Callithrix jacchus: one gene and its partner. The protein of the gene in region 1 interacts with the protein of each later gene in a pairwise test. Links are inferred from orthologs where the notes say so. Each region holds a gene or a part of one and is shown in the gene's direction. Other genes may lie near its edges. The genes, in order: LATS1 and MOAP1.

Region 1 (8,615 bases):
GCCTGGGAGATGAAGGTTGCAGTGAGCCATGGTTGTACCAGTGCACTCCAGCCTGGGTGGCAGAGTGACACCCTGCCTCAAAAATAAATAAATAAATAATAATTTTTTAAAAACACCATAACTGTGGATTTTCCTTTGCCCTTCTATTTCCCTTTGTACAAATGGCTATTAGCATAGCCTAAAGCCTGCTGAGGCGGTGGCCCTCTCTGCCCAGTGCAGGCACCCTCAGATCCTACTCAGCAGGCTAACATCCTTGCTGTGAATGGGCCTCAAACTCATTCTCATTCATGGAAAAGACCCTGGCTCTTAGGTGGCACATTTTCCATGTATTGTGAATAGTAAGCCTGTTTTTGCCTCACCTCACCTTTCTTTTCTCTCTCTTTTTTTTTAAATGGAGTCGCTCTGTCACCCATACTGGAATGCAGTGGCCTGATCTCAGCTCACTGCAACTTTCACCTCCCAGGTTCAAGCAGTTCTGCCTCAGCCTCCCAAGTATCTAGGATTACAGACACACACCACCATACCTGGCTAATTTTTTTGTAATTTTAGTAGAGACAGGGTTTCGCCATGTAGGTCAGGCTGGTCTTGAACACCTGACCTCAAGTAGTCCATCCACCTTGATTTCCCAGAATGCTGGGGTTACAGGCAAGAATCATCGAGCCCAGCCTCTTCTGTTTTTATCTGTAATGACCACTGCCGAAAACTCTGAAGTTTTCATATATGTTGCTAACATCTTCTCAATTTCTAGCAGCCATATATAAAATTTCCGTTGATCATTATAAGTGAGTAAGTGGTAGAGGCTTTAAGGCTTTCAGGGTATTTGTAACCATAAGAGGAATACATTTTAACAGTGTTACATTTCATGCCAATTGACAAGTTCTGCCAATTTTAATAAGAAACTAAGCTATATGTAATATAACACCATAATTTATGAATCTGTTCATTGTCACTGCCTTTATTAAACTATAGTTTCTTTCAAGGGTTGCAGGTTCTTAGAGGTAGAAAGTACCTTGGCGAGCATCTCCAGCCTAAAATTCATGATTCCTTCTACAGTTTTCCCAACAAATTCCCAAAAAAGTATCATCTACCCTATACTTAAAAACATATGGTGGCTCACGCCTGTAATCCTAGCACTTTGGGAGGCCAAGGTGGGTGGGTCACCTGAGGTCAGGAGTTCAAGATCAGCCTGGCCAACATGCCAGAACCCGGTTGCTACTAAAAATGCAAAAATAAAGTAGCTGGGCATGGTGGCAGGCATCTATAATCTCAGCTACTCAGGAGGCTGAGGGAAGAGAATCGCTTGAACCCAGGGGTAGAGGTTGCAGTGAGCCGAGATCACACCACTTTACTCCAGCCTAGGCGAAAGAGTGAAACTGCATCTCAAAAAATATATGTATATATATGGTGATAAATATTCCCATTTTCCAATGAGGCTTCACATTTGAACAGCTCTAATTGATACAGCATTATGGCAGGATTTTAGTGTAAGAGTGGGACCCAAAACAATCCTGTAAAAAGGTACAGTCCTGGTGTAATGTTAACACACTGATCATGTGAGCCTATGAGATGAGCCAATCACCAATTACGTTATATTTGAATCTAATCTGTGTTGGGATCCTTTACCATAGGGTTTCACTAAATAAATGAATTTTCATATACTGAACTGAAATTTGCTTTCATTTGTCTTACCTCAGGAGCCACCCACACAAAATTCCTTTCATATTCAAATATTCAAAAGTGATTATTATAGTCTCTCCAGTGAAGGTTTCCTTCTTACTGTTTCTTGTCATTTTTGGCTAAATCCTTCTTATCCTTCAAGACTCCTTCTAGGTGTCATTTTCTCCAGACAGCTTTTACTGGCCTCCAGCAATCTGGACTAAGTTGCACTCTGCTTCAAAAGCCCATTGTGCAGAATTTAAATTGTGCTCAAAGCAATGTGTTAAGGAGCCTGTCTCCCCCTACTGGGCTACAAGATCAAGTGTATAGTGTTTAACAGTATCTGAACCATAGTAAGCAATGAATCACTATTAACTGACCTGAGCTAAACTCACAATCTTGTTGTCCCTTTAAAAAATACTCCTCTTTGTCAAAGGTCCTCTTTTTTTTCCTTCTTTTTTTGAGTCTAAGTCTCCCTCACCCAGGCTGGAGTGCAATGGCACGATCTCCGCTCACTGGAATCTCTGCTTCCCGGTTCAAGCGATTCTCCTGTCTCAGCCTCCCTAGTAGCACGGATTACAGGTGTGTGCCACCACACCCGGCTAATTTTTTTGTATTTTTAGTAGAGATGGGGTTTACCACATAGGCCAGGCTGGTCTCAAACTCCTGACCTCACGTGGTATACCTGCCACAGTCTCCCAAACTGCTGGGATTACAAGCATAAGTTACCACACTCGGCCAGAGGCCCTTTTAAGTGTGACTTCCAAGATAAACACTTTTTCATCATTGTCTTTGCTGATTATGACAGAAACCTTGCCATCGTTTTTCTAGGAATAATATTCCTTTGTAATGCTGTCTCCGCTTTCTGAAGTGTTCACATGTGATTCTCCTAAGCCACACTTCCTATATTCAGGAGTTAATACAGATGGTTTTTAATCCTTAATATGGGCCTATCCTTCTTGTTCTAAGAAAAATTTCATTTCAATATAGGAAAGGACTAACAATTTTCTTTGTATCTTTTGTAGAAGCTAATTATTTTCTACATAATTGGCCCAGCATGCTCTCTCCATTTTAATCCCATTGATTAGGAAAGATGTTTGAGACAAGATTTAACTCTCACTTAGGCCGGAGTGCAGTAGTGTGATCCCTGGTTCACTGCAGCCTTGACTTCCTGGGCCCAAGTGATTCTCCCACCTCGGTCTCCCAAGTATCTGGACTACAGACATGTACCACCAAGCCTGATTATTGTTTGCAATTTTTATTGAAATGGGGTTTCACTATATTGCCCAGGCTGGTCTTGAACTCCTGGACTCAAGCAATCTACTTGCCTTGGGGTCCCAAAGTGCTAAGCTGGAGTGCAGTGGTGCGGCTCACTGCAACCTCTACCTCCTTGATTCAAGAGATTCTCCTGCCTCAGCCTCCCGAGTAGCTGGGACTACAGGTGTGCACCACCATGCCCAACTAATTTTTGTATTTTTAGTAGAGACGGGGTTTCACTGTGTTGGCCATGCTGGTCTTGAACTCCTGACTTTGTGATCCGCCTGCCTGGCCTCCCAAAGTGCTGGGATTACAAGCGTGAGCCACCATGGCCAGCGGAACATAATCTTTTAACAGGTTTTCACATTTGGATTTCTGAATACAGTAAGCAGCCAGTTATTACTTTAACATCAGAAAAAGACGTCTGTAATTTTTTTGTAGTCTATAGTAGAAAAATTACGAAAGAAGTTACTTGAAAACACTATATTTTCTAGAGGAAAAACTGGCAAAGGCACTCTTCACAAAGGGTGGACAGTACCTTACACATCAAACCCAGTGATCCCATCCCAGATTTTCTATTCAACTTTACTAGAAGTAAAACCTCTTGTCTTGTCACACCGTCACCGTTATTCCAGTTAGGCAATAACGACCTCCTCCTACGGATGCAGTTGACAGGTCAGATCTCTAAACTCTGCTAATCGGTCCTGGCTCAAGAACTTCTTCTTGGCTGATTCAGAAAATACAGATGCTGGAACCTCATGGGCTTGTTCGGGGAAAGAACGCTAAGCAAGAATAAAATTTTATTTCAAAGCGCCAAAACTCGAATTTTGAGGTCCACAGCGAAGTTTCCCAGAACAACTCAACAGTTGTTCCCTTCGGAGAACGAAGCTCCGTGAAATGCGCATCCCTACTCGGTCCAGAGAAAGAGATCAATGGGAAAAAGGATTCAATCAACCGAGTGGGCTGGGCAGGAGAGAGCCTTAACCCACGGCCGCGGGCGAGTCTTCTGGGCAGGGCAGGCGGGAGCGACGTGGGGCGACGCTCACGAAGGCTCTGAGCGGCGGGCCACGCAACGAGGCCCAGAGGCCTCGGTTGCGCGCTCCCTAGCTGCTGCCGGGCGGGCAGAAGCCCCCAGTCTTCGGCCCCCGCGCAAGCGACGCCGGGAAATGCCCACATCCGGGAAACCTGCAACGGAGTGCGGCGGCGGCGACATTGAGTGGAAGGCAAAATGGCGGCGGCGGCAGTGGCCTGGTGTTAAGGGGAGAGCCAGGTCCTCGGGACCCCCGCGACGGGCCACAGTGGCCCGCGGCAGCCCTCCGGCGTCTCTACCCGCTCTGCCCCACCAGGGATACTTGGGGTTGCTGGGACGGGCTCCGGCCGTCTAGGCGCCCGCCCTCGGGCCGGTGGCCGCTGTCCAGGAGCTCTCCTTTCCCCTCCAGGTAGGTCCGGGGCTGGCGTAGCGGGTGGGGCTCACTTCTCCCGAGCTGGAGTTGGCGGGGCGGTGGCCGCTGGGGCCCACGCCCATCCCCGCTGGCGGGGGTCCAGAGGTTGCTGTGGACTGGCGGGCCGCGGCGGCCCGCTCCGGGCCTGACTGGGCTGGTTGCATTGACCTGAGCTGAGCCCTGCCCTGGGGAAGCGAGGGTTGGCCGCGCCCGGTGCTGCAGGAAGAGCCCCGGGCATTTCGGCCTCGGAAGTGCACGTTGGGCAGGGAAGAGCCTACCTTGCTGGCGGCCTTGCGCCGACTGTCTCCCACCCCACCCCCAAACGCGGGTCGGCGGTGTCCACAGGGAAGGAACGGGAAAGGTGGTTCTGAAGGAAATTTGCAGTGAAAGAGCTACAGTTTTTTGAATCCCAGAGGGCTCTGATCCTGGGTGTATCTTGAAGAAATCCTGGGAGTCTCTTATTTCTAGTTCAATGTGATAAAGGTTACTGTTCATAGTTGGAAATGGTGGGAGAGGTGGAGAGGTCTTTACGGAGTAGGGGTGTGTATATAAATACAGAAAATGAAGGAACGACAATTTAGGGAACAGCGTTTTTTATAACCTGAAAGGGCTTGTAGCTCAATGAATGACTTCCAGATGACTTAATCCCCATTCTGACTTCTCTGTCAATTTCTAATGGAACATAATTTAATGTTTGTCAACTCATATGTTAATACAACTTATAAAACATATATCATCCTCCAGAAGTTATTCATAAATCTTGTGAACAGTAAGTATAGTCTCCTGCACAGAAATAATACTGTATAACTCCAGTTTTGGAAATGAATTTGAATGTTAGTGATCATGAAGCTTGTCAGACCTTTACGAATTGTTTATTGAAGGTTAAAAATTTTTATCCATTTTCCTTCATGAGGAAGAAAAGGTAGGACATTATAGTTGGAATGAATGTTCTCTGCTACGAAAACAAAGCTTATCTCTGATGGTAAAATGGGGTAGTTGATTCCCTAAGGCAGTGGAAGAGTTTGAACAGTGAAAGAAGTAGCATTGTGTTAGTTCCATTGGCTGCTACTGCAAGAAACTAGATCATGGTCCATTCCTGGAACAGCACATTCTGTGCCTAAATATTGATTGAATATGACTTGTTGCTCTCCAAAAACAAGTAAAAAAAATTTTTTTGGCTGTATTTTAAATGTATAATATCTGGCTTTCATTGTGTAGGTCGTTTTTATTTTTGTTTTTATTGCTAGTCCTTGTTATGCTGTATACATAGTCTTGGAATGGTTCTAACTCTGGTTATTTATTCTAGATGTTTTATTTATATTAGTGGGAGATTGTTATACATCACAAAAGTTAGTCATTGAATAACATTTCCACCAAGTAGAAGCAGCAGTCCTTTTTCAGCATTTTTCACTTTTGATCCCACAATTATTAGAAAGTGAACAGAAGAAAATGTCAGTATCCAGTTTCCTGAATATCGCTGTTTATACGAATGAGACTATGCTGCTAAAAAAAGAAACAGCACATATTATTGTTGCTGTCCTTATTACTGATCTGGTCAAAGCTATGACATAGTCATCTTTTTTTTTTTTTAAATGGGGACTCGCTATGTTGCCTGTGCTGGATTCCAACTCCTGGGCTTGAACAGTCCTCCCACCACAGCCTCTCAAGTAGCTGGGACTACAGGCGCACTACTGCACCCAGCTAGGGTACCTTTCTGATAAACTTAATTCAACCCAATCTTATGTAATGGTACCTGTTTTTTTCCAAAGTTGGACAAACTAATGGATGATACTTGTTTGTCGTTTGTATTTTTGATGAGGGTCTGAACTTTAAAAAATAATAATAAGGCCAGGCGTGGTGGCTCAAGCCTGTAATCCCAGCACTTTGGGAGGCCGAGGCGGATGGATCATGAGGTCAAGAGATCGAGACCTTCCTGGTCAACATGATGAAACCTCATCTCTACTAAAAATACAAAAAAAATTAGCTGGGTATGGTGGCGCGTGCCTGTAATCCCAGCTACTCAGGAGGCTGAGGCAGGAGAATTGCCTGAACCCAGGAGGCGGAGGTTGCGGTGAGCCGAGATCGCACCATTGCACTTCAGCCTGGATAACAAGAGTGAAACTCCGTCTCAAAAAAAAAATAGAGATTTGTCATACCCAGGCAGTTTGATTCCAGAGCTCTTACTTTTAACGATTAGGTTAAAAATCATTGAAAGTTACGGAGTAGCTGGGCATGGTGGCTCACGCCTGTAATCCCAGCACTTTGGGAGGCCGAGGCAGGCAGATCACAAGGTCAGAAGATTGAGATCATCCTGGCCAATACAGTGAAACCCTGTCTTTAAAAAAAAAAAAAAAGATGGTGAAACATCTCTACTAAAAATACAAAAAAATAGCTGTGTATAATGGTGTGTGCCTGTAATCCCAGCTACTTGGGAGGCTGAGGCAGGAGAATTGCTTGAACCCAGGAGGTGAAGGTTGCAGTGAGCAGAGATCATGCCACTGCACTCCAAGCTGGGCCACAGAGCAAGACTCTGTCTCAAAAAAAGAGAAAATAATACAATTGAGGTAACAAGGAGATTTCGTCTTTTATTTATGGCTAAGTTACGCACGTGCAATGACCGCTACTCCAGAACTTCTCTGCTGTGGACCTGAAAAATATCTTTTAACGTTGATCTCAAGATATACTCTATTTATTTATTTTTTGTGGGACAGAGTTCGAGTCTTGCTCTGATGCTTAGGCTGGAGAGTGTAGTAGCACAGTCACGGCTCACTGCAGCCTCAGCCTCCCCAGTAGCTGGGACTGCAGGTGCACACCAACATACTTGGCTGTGTTTTGTTTTTTTTTTTTTTTTTTTTTCTATTTTTTGTAGAGACAGGGTCTCCCTTTGTTGCTCAGGCTAATCTCAAACAGCTGGGATCAAGAGATCCACCCACTTCAGCCTTTAAAAGTTTTGGGATTACAGTCATGAGCCACTGCACCTGGCCCTAAATTTTAGAAATATTAAAATGTAGAACAGCATGCTTAGAATCAAACAAACATGATACTGGCCAAGCATGGTGGCTCACGCCTGTAATCCCAACACTTTGGAAGGCCAAGGTGGGAGCATCGCTTGAGGCCAGGAGTTTGAGACCAGCCTCATCAATAGAGATGAGAGACCCTCATTTCTATTTAAAAATAAATAAAATAAAAAGAAACATGACACCTATTACTGTGGAATGATGTTCCTGGTATTATGTTATTCTTTTGCTAACAAATAGGACCCTAATCAGTGACAGAGGCAAGATTCATAGGTCCTTTGGTCCACATGCCCAAATCTCTTAATCAGGTCCAGATATGGTTCCTCTTGCTCCAGGGACCTGTGAAGTAATGTGTCCTGTGTGTCATGTGTATGCTCTCTTGCTGTCTCTCTCTCACTGTATCTCTTTCTCTCTATCTCTCTTCCTTTTCTCTTCCCCTTACTCACCACAGTACACAAGAGTAGAATACTGCTAGGAAGGCCACAGTAAGCCGTACTCCTAGAAAAGGAGACTAATGAGAGATAAGCAGCAGATTCTGTGTAAGCAACCAGTCCTGGAGGTAGGGGAGATTGGACCTTGATTTATTTGGAAGGAACTCTCTCATCGTTTTCCATGACCTGTGAAGTGTGTGTTGGGTGAGTATCCTCCCTTTGGAAAGTACAAATCTTTCTCAACTAGCTTGTTGTTCTTAGAAGTTGGGTGCCAAAGGGTTTTAAATTTTGAATAGACAAAGAGTTTTTTAGTCTGAACTTGAGATGATTTAAGAAAAAAATTTTTTTTTTTTTTGAGATGGAGTCTTACTCATTTGGTTATTTGAGGCTATTAGGTTTGACAGGAAGGCTACATCCTTAAGGTGTTCTTTATCCCTGAAGCAGTAGTTAGCTAAGAGTTTTCAGCAGATATCTGTACTCAGTCTTCATCCTGCCTCTGCAGGTCTAGGTGCAAGTTGCTTTTCCAATCCTTTGAGAGTTTAAATTTCTGAACATATTCTATTCCCTTCTGTTTTTGCTTTGAAATCTGCTGCTGCTTTCTTGAGCTCATCATTTACTTATAATACTTTGCCAAATATACAATAGCAGTCAATATTTGCTTCCAAGATCCTCTTTTCCAAACTCTTTTTTTTATAAAATTGAAGGTCAGTAGCCTCTTTGTATGCTCACTGACCTTGTAGTTATATGGAAAGTTATTATAGGTAACAGCTTTACCAAATATTTTGCCACTATAAAACATGATCTTCCATCTT
Region 2 (8,226 bases), on another chromosome or scaffold:
CATTTTAGAGCGGTCTCATGCATCAGATAAGGACTGGACAAAATTACCTGCTATAGTCTGGGCGTGGTGGCTCATGCCTGTTATCCTAGTACTTTGGGAGGCCAAGGTGGATCACTTGAAGTCAGGAGTTCAAAACCAGCTACTAAAAAATACAAAAATTAGCCAGGCATGGTGGTAGGTGCCTGTAATTCCAGCTACCTGGGAGGCTGAGGCAGAAGAGTAACATGAACCTGGGAGGCAGAGGTTGCAGTGAGCCGAGATTGAGCACTATACTCCAGCCTGGGTGACAGAGCAAGGCTCTGTCTCAAAATAAATCAATAAATAAAATTAAATGAACACAGCTGGGCATGGTGGCTCCCACCTATAATCACAGCACTTTGGGAGGCTGATGCAAGAGGATCACCTTAGGTGCGGAGTTTGAGACCAGCCTGGCCAACATGGTGTAAACCCATCTCTACTAAAAACACAAAAATTAGCCAGGCATGGTGGCAGTTGCCTGTAATCCCAGCTACCTGGGAGACTGAGACAAGAGAATTGCTTGAATCGGGAGGCGGATGTTGCAGAGAGCCACTGCCCTCCATCTTGGGCGACAGAGCAAGGCCCCATCTCTAAATAAATAAACAAACTGCTATATTCTCATTGAACACATTGCTTCCATCTTCTGTTTGTAAGTAATTTTAAGCCTTTCAACATTTAACATTTAGTCTCTTCCCAAATATTTTTTTTTTGAGATGGAGTTTTGCTCTTATTGCCCAGGCTGGAGTGCAGTGGTATGATCTCGACTCACCACAACCTCCGCCTCCCAGATTCAAGTGATCCTCCTGCCTCAGCCTCCCGAGTAGCTGGTATTACAGGAGCTTGCAATGAGCCCGGCTAATTCTGTATTTTTAGTAGAGACGGGTCTCTTCCATGTTGGTCAGGCTGGTCTTGAACTCCTGACCTCAGGTGATCCGCCCACTGCAGCCTCCCAAAGTGCTGGGATTACAAGGTGAGCCACCACGCCCAGCCTCCCCAAATAGTTTTCTAAATCAGTAGCATTGGGGCACATGTTCTTAGGGCCTCCTGAGGCTGTCACAAGTCATGGGAAAAAAATTTTTTTTTAATTAAAAATAGCTGGGCATGAGGGCTTACGCCTGAAATCCCAACGCTTAGGGAGCCAGAGCGGGGAGGAAAGCTTGAGCCCAGGGGTGTGAGACCAGCCTGGCAACACAGCAAGATCTCATTCTCCACTAAAATAAAAAAATATAAAAAACAAAACCAGTAGCATTAATAATAATTTAGCTAGCTATTACCAAGAGGAAGAATGAATTCTGCTTATCAAGACAGCCAACACCTCAATAACTTTTAGCAATTCCTCAAGCTGATAGCAAGTATAAACAGTTGGCTTAGCTACAACAGAATGAATTGGTGTGTTTTAGTGTGAAGAATTTTAAAGCAAACCAAGTAATTGTATAAAATTTAAATTTTATGATCATGTCTGGACCTTTTTACACTTAACACAATGGAAATGTTCATATGCATTTTTTTCCCCAAAGGAAAAATTTCTGAATCATCACTATGTTGCACAGTAGAATAGAAATATGAATTCAGGTACTTAGTCAAGTTTCTAAAGAATGCAAATAACAGATAAGATTTAACTTCCAAAGTCTAAAGTCATCAACATGATTTTGTAGTACTCTATCTCAGGCTTTACCTAAAAATTCATTATTCAGATAAAGATAGCCCCCCAATCACATGTTTTTAAAAAGCCTCTGCCCCACCACAACTTCCTGAGATCTGTGAAGAAACTACAGTCTTGTGATCAGACTCCATATAGTACTGGCAGTTTTGTAATCAGGGAAAAAACGGTGACTGATTTTATGTGTCAATCAGTTGTAGTCTGCTGATCTGATTAGATGCCTTGACAAATGCCTGGTGGCGATTGCAAATAACTGCCAAACATATAGGGATGATACAGTAGCCCACTGTTTTGGGATCAGCTCTTGTACAAGAGTAAAGGAACAAAAACATCTGTAAGTAAGGTACCAGAAAAATAATTGTCCACAGCCAAAAAGGCAAGGAGAGTAATCGAGCTTTCAAGGAGTGCGTCCATGTGGTTCCTTCAAGGGGCTCCTCAGGGTGCTGTTGAATGTGTTCCAATGCCAGCCTGTTGTAAGTCTCATTAATTTCAAAAACATAGTAAAATGCTGCTGCACTGGCTAACAGATATAATCCCACTCCAATCCATCCCATCCGCTGACGGAAGTTCATCATTCTCCATGCTCTGTGCCTTCAAATTAAAAAAAAAAATACAATTAGGGTCTAGTAATGCTGTCATGGCAACTATTCCAAATGTACTTGCTGTATCTCCAAGAATTCTAAAATATTCCACTAACACACTTAAGATTTAAAATAATTAAATGTAACACCTATTAAGAAATGTAAAACTTGCAGGTTGTTTTATGTAATAGTTACAAGCAAGTAAAAAAAAACTGATTTCAGTATACATTGAGTTTTTTTTTTTTTTTTTTTTTTTTTTTTTTTTTTTTTTTTTGAGAGTCTTGCTCTGTTGCCCAGGCTGGAGTGCAGTGGCACGATCTCGGCTCACTGCAACCTCCATCTCCTGGGTTCAAGCAGTTCTCCTACCTCATCCTCCCGAGTAGCTGGTATTACAGGTGCCTGCCCCCACGCCCAGCTAATTTTTGTAATTTTAGGAAAGACGGGGTTTCACCACGTTGGCCAGGCTGGTCTCAAACTCTTGACCTCAGGTTATTCTCCCGCCTCGGACTCCCAAAGTGCTGAGATTAAAGGTGTGAGCCACCGCCGAGTTCTGCTTTTTAATGGGAATCCCACAGAATAAACAGGTTCTACTTAAACAGGTTCAGAATACCCGCCCTCCAGAAACTGGAATTAAGCTAGTTTCCCACAGCACATTTCACTTTGACAGTTAAAATACTTTCTGGCTTAACAGTACTGCTTCAGACGTGAACACGGGGTGCTACAAGTCAAGACCCCAAGTTAATAACTCCTAAGCACTTACAATGGTCCCGAAAATCTTCCTGTTCCCACGGCAAGCGTTAAAGAGTCATTCAGCTCTGAATAATCGGGTGGCTTTGGCATTTCAGAGAAAGCCACCATAAAAATAAATCCCCTGGGTCACCCGGCTCAGAGAGAGGTGAGCGCCGCCAGCCCGAAGCACCAGCTACTAATGATTAAGAACGGCGTGACTGCGGCGGGTCACGCGCTGCCCGGTTCCCGTCGCCGCCGCCGGGGCCCCACTCTGGGAACCCGACCCGGCCGGGAGGCGTCCCAGCCACCTGGGCCTCCCGGCGGCCGGCCCCGCCCCCTACTGAGCTGCAGCACCTGCACGCAGCGACCAGGGCTGTGCAGGCGACGCCAGGCCGCGGCCTCGCCGCCCTGCAGCGCCGCGAGTTCAGCGCCAGTCAGCGGCCGCCGGCAGAGCCTGCCTGCAAAGCTGAGATCCCGGATCTCACCTTCCTGTCCCGGGTGGCCAGCCCGCCCGCCGTCCCGGATACCGCCGCAGTCGGGGCTTCCGGCTCGGGCCGGAAGCGCACGCGCCCCGCCCCCGGAGGCCCGCCCCGCTCATGACGTCAGAGCGCCTCTGCCAGACGCACAGCTTCTCGGAGCGAGAACAAAGCGGCCGAAGTTGGGGCTTGATACCCGGCTCTGGCGTTGCAGGTGGCAGCGCGTCCCTTCAGGCGGGCGGTTGTCTGGGCCTGGCGACTCAGCGCTCTTCAGCCTTGCCCTCTGGTTCCCGCTCGTGACTGTCATCGCCCCATCACTCCTTGCTGCGGAGAGCATCGCAGGGACTTGGAGGACCGGCATCGATCGCTTTGGCCCGCGAGTGTCCGTCCGAGCCGAGGGGAGCCCGCCTTCCCGCCCCTTCTCTGGGCCTGGCCAGGCACCTTGCCCGCCGTCGCACAGACGCGAGCACGGAGCAGTAGATCACGGTGAGGCGAAACAAGCCCGGAGCGGCCCTGTAGGCCGGACAACCGCTACGCAGTTGGGCTGGGCGGGGGGAGGGGCGCACGCCGCAATGCGGCAGACATGGCGTCGCCGCGGGGTGCAGGTCCCTCGGGGCTTAAGGCCTGCACGTTGGCACCTTTAGCTAACCCGTCTGCTCTGTCTTGCAGGCTGCTGGACCTCGCCACGTTGAGGAGATTTCTCTGGGGTACCGCGGAGGATTACTTTGAATTGCGGTGGCTACCTGTGGTCTGGAATATTTAGAACTTAAGTCTATTATTTCGGGCACCATGAGTTTGAGGCTTTTAGAAGACTGGTGCCGGGGGATGGACATGAGCCCTCGGAAAGCGCTGCTGATTGCCGGCATCCCCGAGAGCTGCAGTGTGGCAGAAATCGAGGAGGCTCTGCAGGCTGGTTTAGCTCCCCTAGGGGAGTATAGACTGCTTGGAAGGATGTTCAGGAGGGATGAGAACTGCAAAGTAGCCCTAGTTGGGCTTGCTGCGGAGACTAGTCGTGCACTGGTCCCTAAGGAGATACCGGGAAAAGGGGGTATCTGGAGAGTGCTCTTTAAGACCCCCGACCCAGATAATGATTTCCTAAGCAGATTAAATGAATTTTTAGAGGGAGAGGGCATGACAATGGGTGAGTTGACCAGAGCTCTTAGATATGAAAATGGCTCCTTAGACCTAGGGCAGGGCATGATCCCAGAAATGTGGGCCCCTATGTTGGCACAGGCATTAAATGAGGCTCTTGAGCCTGCCCTGCAGTACTTCCACTATAAAAAGCTGAGCGTGTTCTCAGGCAGTGATTCTCCAGAACCGGAAGAAGAAGAATTTGAACCCTGGCTGTTTCATACTACTCAGATGTTAAAGGTGTGGGAGGTGTCAGATGCAGAGAAGAGAAGGCGAGTGCTAGAGAGCCTTCGAGGCCCAGCACTTGATGTTATTCGTGTCCTCAAGATAAACAATCCTTTAATTACTGTTGATGAATGCCTGCAGGCTCTTGAGCAGGTATTTGGGGTTACAGATAGTCCTAGAGAGTTGCATGACAAATTTCTAAACACTTACCAGAAGGAGGAAGAAAAGTTATCTGATTATGTACTAAGGCTGGAGCCTTTGTTACAGAAGCTGGTACAGAAAGGAGCAATTGAGAGAGATGCTGTGAATCAGGCCCGCCTAGACCAAGTCATTGCTGGGGCAGTCCACAGAACAGTTCGCAGAGAGCTTAATCTGCCGGAGGATGGCCCAGCCCCTAGTTTATTGCAGTTACTGGTACTAATAAAGGATTATGAAGCAGCTGAGGAGGAGGAGGCCCTTCTCCAGGCAGTATTAGACGGGCATTTCACCTGAATCTCAGGGAATCACGAAGGGATATAGCAATGAGCAGAGCATGAAAGTAGAACAGTCTGTACTCTTGTGACACATAAAATCCCTGCCTTGTGCTGCCAAGTTACTCGTTTTTGTGCAGTTGTCAGTATAAGCCCTTTGTTATTTCTGTGCCTATTTAAGATCTAAAGGTGTCAGTGACCAGGAAGGATGTAGTTCTACACTGCTGTTTACCTATTTAAATTCATTCCTGTGAATATCTTGTTTGTTGTCGTTGAGACTGAGTCTTGCTCTGTCGCACAGGCTGGAATGCAGTGACGCAATCTTGACCCACTGCACGCTCCACCTCCCGGGTTTAAGTGATTCTCCTGCCCCAGTCTCCTGAGTAGCTGGGACTACAGGTGTGTGCTGCCACACCCAGCTAATTTTTGTACTTTCGGTAGAGACAGGGTTTCACCATGTTGGCCAGGCTGGTCTCGAACCCCTGACCTCAAGTGATCAACCTGCCTCGGCCTCCAAAAGTGCTGGGATTATAGGTGTGAGCCACCGTGCCTGGCTTCATCCCTGTGAATTTCTTATTGTACAAAAGTTCTTTAACTACCTGTGTACAGTGCTCTGAGGGGACAGACAAGGCTCAGGTGCATATGCTGATCAAATCTCATTGAACTGTCAGCTTGTTTGGTACCAAGTGCAAGTGTGCCATGTCACATGTGACCATGTTGGATCATTAACAATTTTTAGGTATGTGCTAACCTACATTTATGGTGTAGATTATGAGTGGAGGTTAAGATACTAAGTTATTATCTGTATGAATCAGAATTATATTGATTCTGTACAAAAACAAAAGACAGAATTGAATGCTGATTTAAGTTTGCAGTGACCATCTTTAACCACAGATTTCTGCTATGTGTTACCAAAATATCTAGTTCTGAGTATCATTTTCACAATTGTTATGAAATTATAGGTGTGAACTTCTAAAATAAAAGAATGCTAATAAAATGATTTTGTCTGTTTTGTTTATATCAGGGTTCCAAGAGAGATTTCATTTGAATAAAGAGTTCCCAGAGCATTAATCTGCAAACCACTGAACCTACACAGACTTAGTTCCCAGGATTCTTTCCACTTGGTGCTGAGGGGTAGGAAATTGTTTTCTAAGTGAGATTGCTGAGGGGACCTTCTGCTGAAGCAGTAAAACAATTATATTACTGCTTCTACTGTAATATTAACTGACATGCACTCTGAATAGATTAGAAGGTGTAATTCTGATCTTGTTTATATATGTGTAGTCATTTGGAGCATACAGGCACTGTGACATGGGCCACTCACTTGCCCCCTCAGTAGTGGGAAGCAGACATGGTGAATTTGTGCACAAACAAGTGTTAATATGTGTTGCACCTCTCCATCTGTGAGGCACTAAGCTGAGGGCTTAAGACTGCGTCATTACATTTAGACTACAGTCCCTGCCCTGGAGGTCAGTGATGATAGCTCTGTTGAACACCAGATACGGAGCACCAGTGAACACGTTTGGTGCCCCCACAAGCTCAGTCTTTTATTTTCCCCATTGTACGTATGAGACTGAGAAGCTAAGTAACTTGCCCAGGGTTTCACAGCTAGTGAGTGGCAAGGCTCAGACACTTCCAGAGTTTTTGATCTTAATGTATTCCGTGCTGCCTTATTCAGAAACCTACTGTTTCCCCATTTTACAGATGAGAAGCTTGAGGATCAGAAAGATTCAATGCCAGGGGCAAGGGCTCATAGTGTGATTCCACAAAGCCGTTATTAAGGTGTTCTGACATGTATCTGGTAAACACTACCTAATTTTTGTTTGTTTATGGAATCATGTAAAATAAAATACACTCCCCTTAAATAGCTATGTTTCAACTGGGCGTGGTGGCTCACGCCTGTAATCCCAACACTTTGGGAGGCCCAGGTAAGTGAATCACCTGAGGTCAGGAGTTTGAGACCAGCCTGGCCAACATGGTGAAACCCTGTCCCTAAGAAAAATACAAAAAATTAGCTGGGCATGGTGGCGGGTGCCTGTAATCCCATCTACTTCGGAGGCTGAGGCAGGAGAATTGCTTGAGCCCAGGAGGTGGAGGCTGCAGTGAGCCGAGCTTGTGCCACTCTCCAGCCTAGGTGACAGAGCGAGACTCCACCTCAAAAAGAAAGAAAAGAAAGGAAACCATCGCAGATCACAGACTAGAGACTAAGGATAGAGGTGGTGAACTAAATGTAATGTGTCCCAGAAGGGATCTTGGAACAGATAAAGGGCATGAGTGGAAGAGTGGGATCCAAGTGTACTTAGGAAGTCAGAGCTAACAGTAATGTGCCAATGTCAGTTTCCTGGAGGAGCCAAATGTACCATGGAAATGTGAAGTAACAATTGGGGAAAGTAGGTGAGAATACAGGCGCTCTCTGCACTCTTTCTAACTTATCTGTAAGCCTAAAACTGCTATAAATAAATAAAATGTTCATTGAAATACATACATATCTTGGGTTCCTAGGTGTTTCAGCAAAAAGAGTAAAAAATAAAATTTAAAAAAGAAGGGCTGGGTGTGGTGGCTCACGCCTATAATCCCAGCACTGGGAGCCGGGGCAGGTGGATCATTTGAGCCCAGGAGTTCAAGGCCGACCAGGCCAACACAGTGAAACCCCATCTCTACAAAACCTCATGTGATGGCGCGTGTTTGTGGTCCCAACTACTTGGGAGGCTGAGGTGGGAGGAGCTCTTGAGGTGGGAAGTCGAGGCTGCAGTGAGCCGAGATCGCACCACTGCAATCCATCCAGCCTGAGCGACAGAGCAAGACCCTGCTCAAAAATAAAAATAAAAAATCTATGTAGATACACACATATGGACAGATGCATGCTAATAGCAAATGACCTGGGATGCCAACCAGTAAAATAAGTTGTTTCATTCATTGAAACACCACTAGGTGGC

Evidence for each region.
Region 2: the proteins of LATS1 (region 1) and MOAP1 interact in a two-hybrid assay, tested with the Homo sapiens proteins (2 studies listed by BioGRID and IntAct). The two-hybrid records come from large-scale screens. The link is inferred for Callithrix jacchus from reciprocal best matches to the Homo sapiens genes LATS1 and MOAP1.

Annotation. Positions count from the first base shown.
Region 1 is NC_133505.1:156,494,474-156,503,088, reverse strand, and holds the start of LATS1 (serine/threonine-protein kinase LATS1), read left to right. Parts: upstream 1-4,121; 5' UTR 4,122-4,352; exon of another isoform or gene 4,353-4,698; intron 4,699-7,823; 5' UTR 7,824-8,007; intron 8,008-8,615. UniProt on the Homo sapiens protein: Negative regulator of YAP1 in the Hippo signaling pathway that plays a pivotal role in organ size control and tumor suppression by restricting proliferation and promoting apoptosis.
Region 2 is NC_133509.1:127,994,553-128,002,778, reverse strand, and holds MOAP1 (modulator of apoptosis 1), read left to right. Parts: upstream 1-4,181; 5' UTR 4,182-4,253; coding exon 4,254-5,312; 3' UTR 5,313-6,287; downstream 6,288-8,226. Other genes in the region: LYSET (lysosomal enzyme trafficking factor), read right to left, coding at 1,858-2,269, 3,020-3,117; uncharacterized protein LOC103795890, read left to right, coding at 3,188-3,950, 4,134-4,156.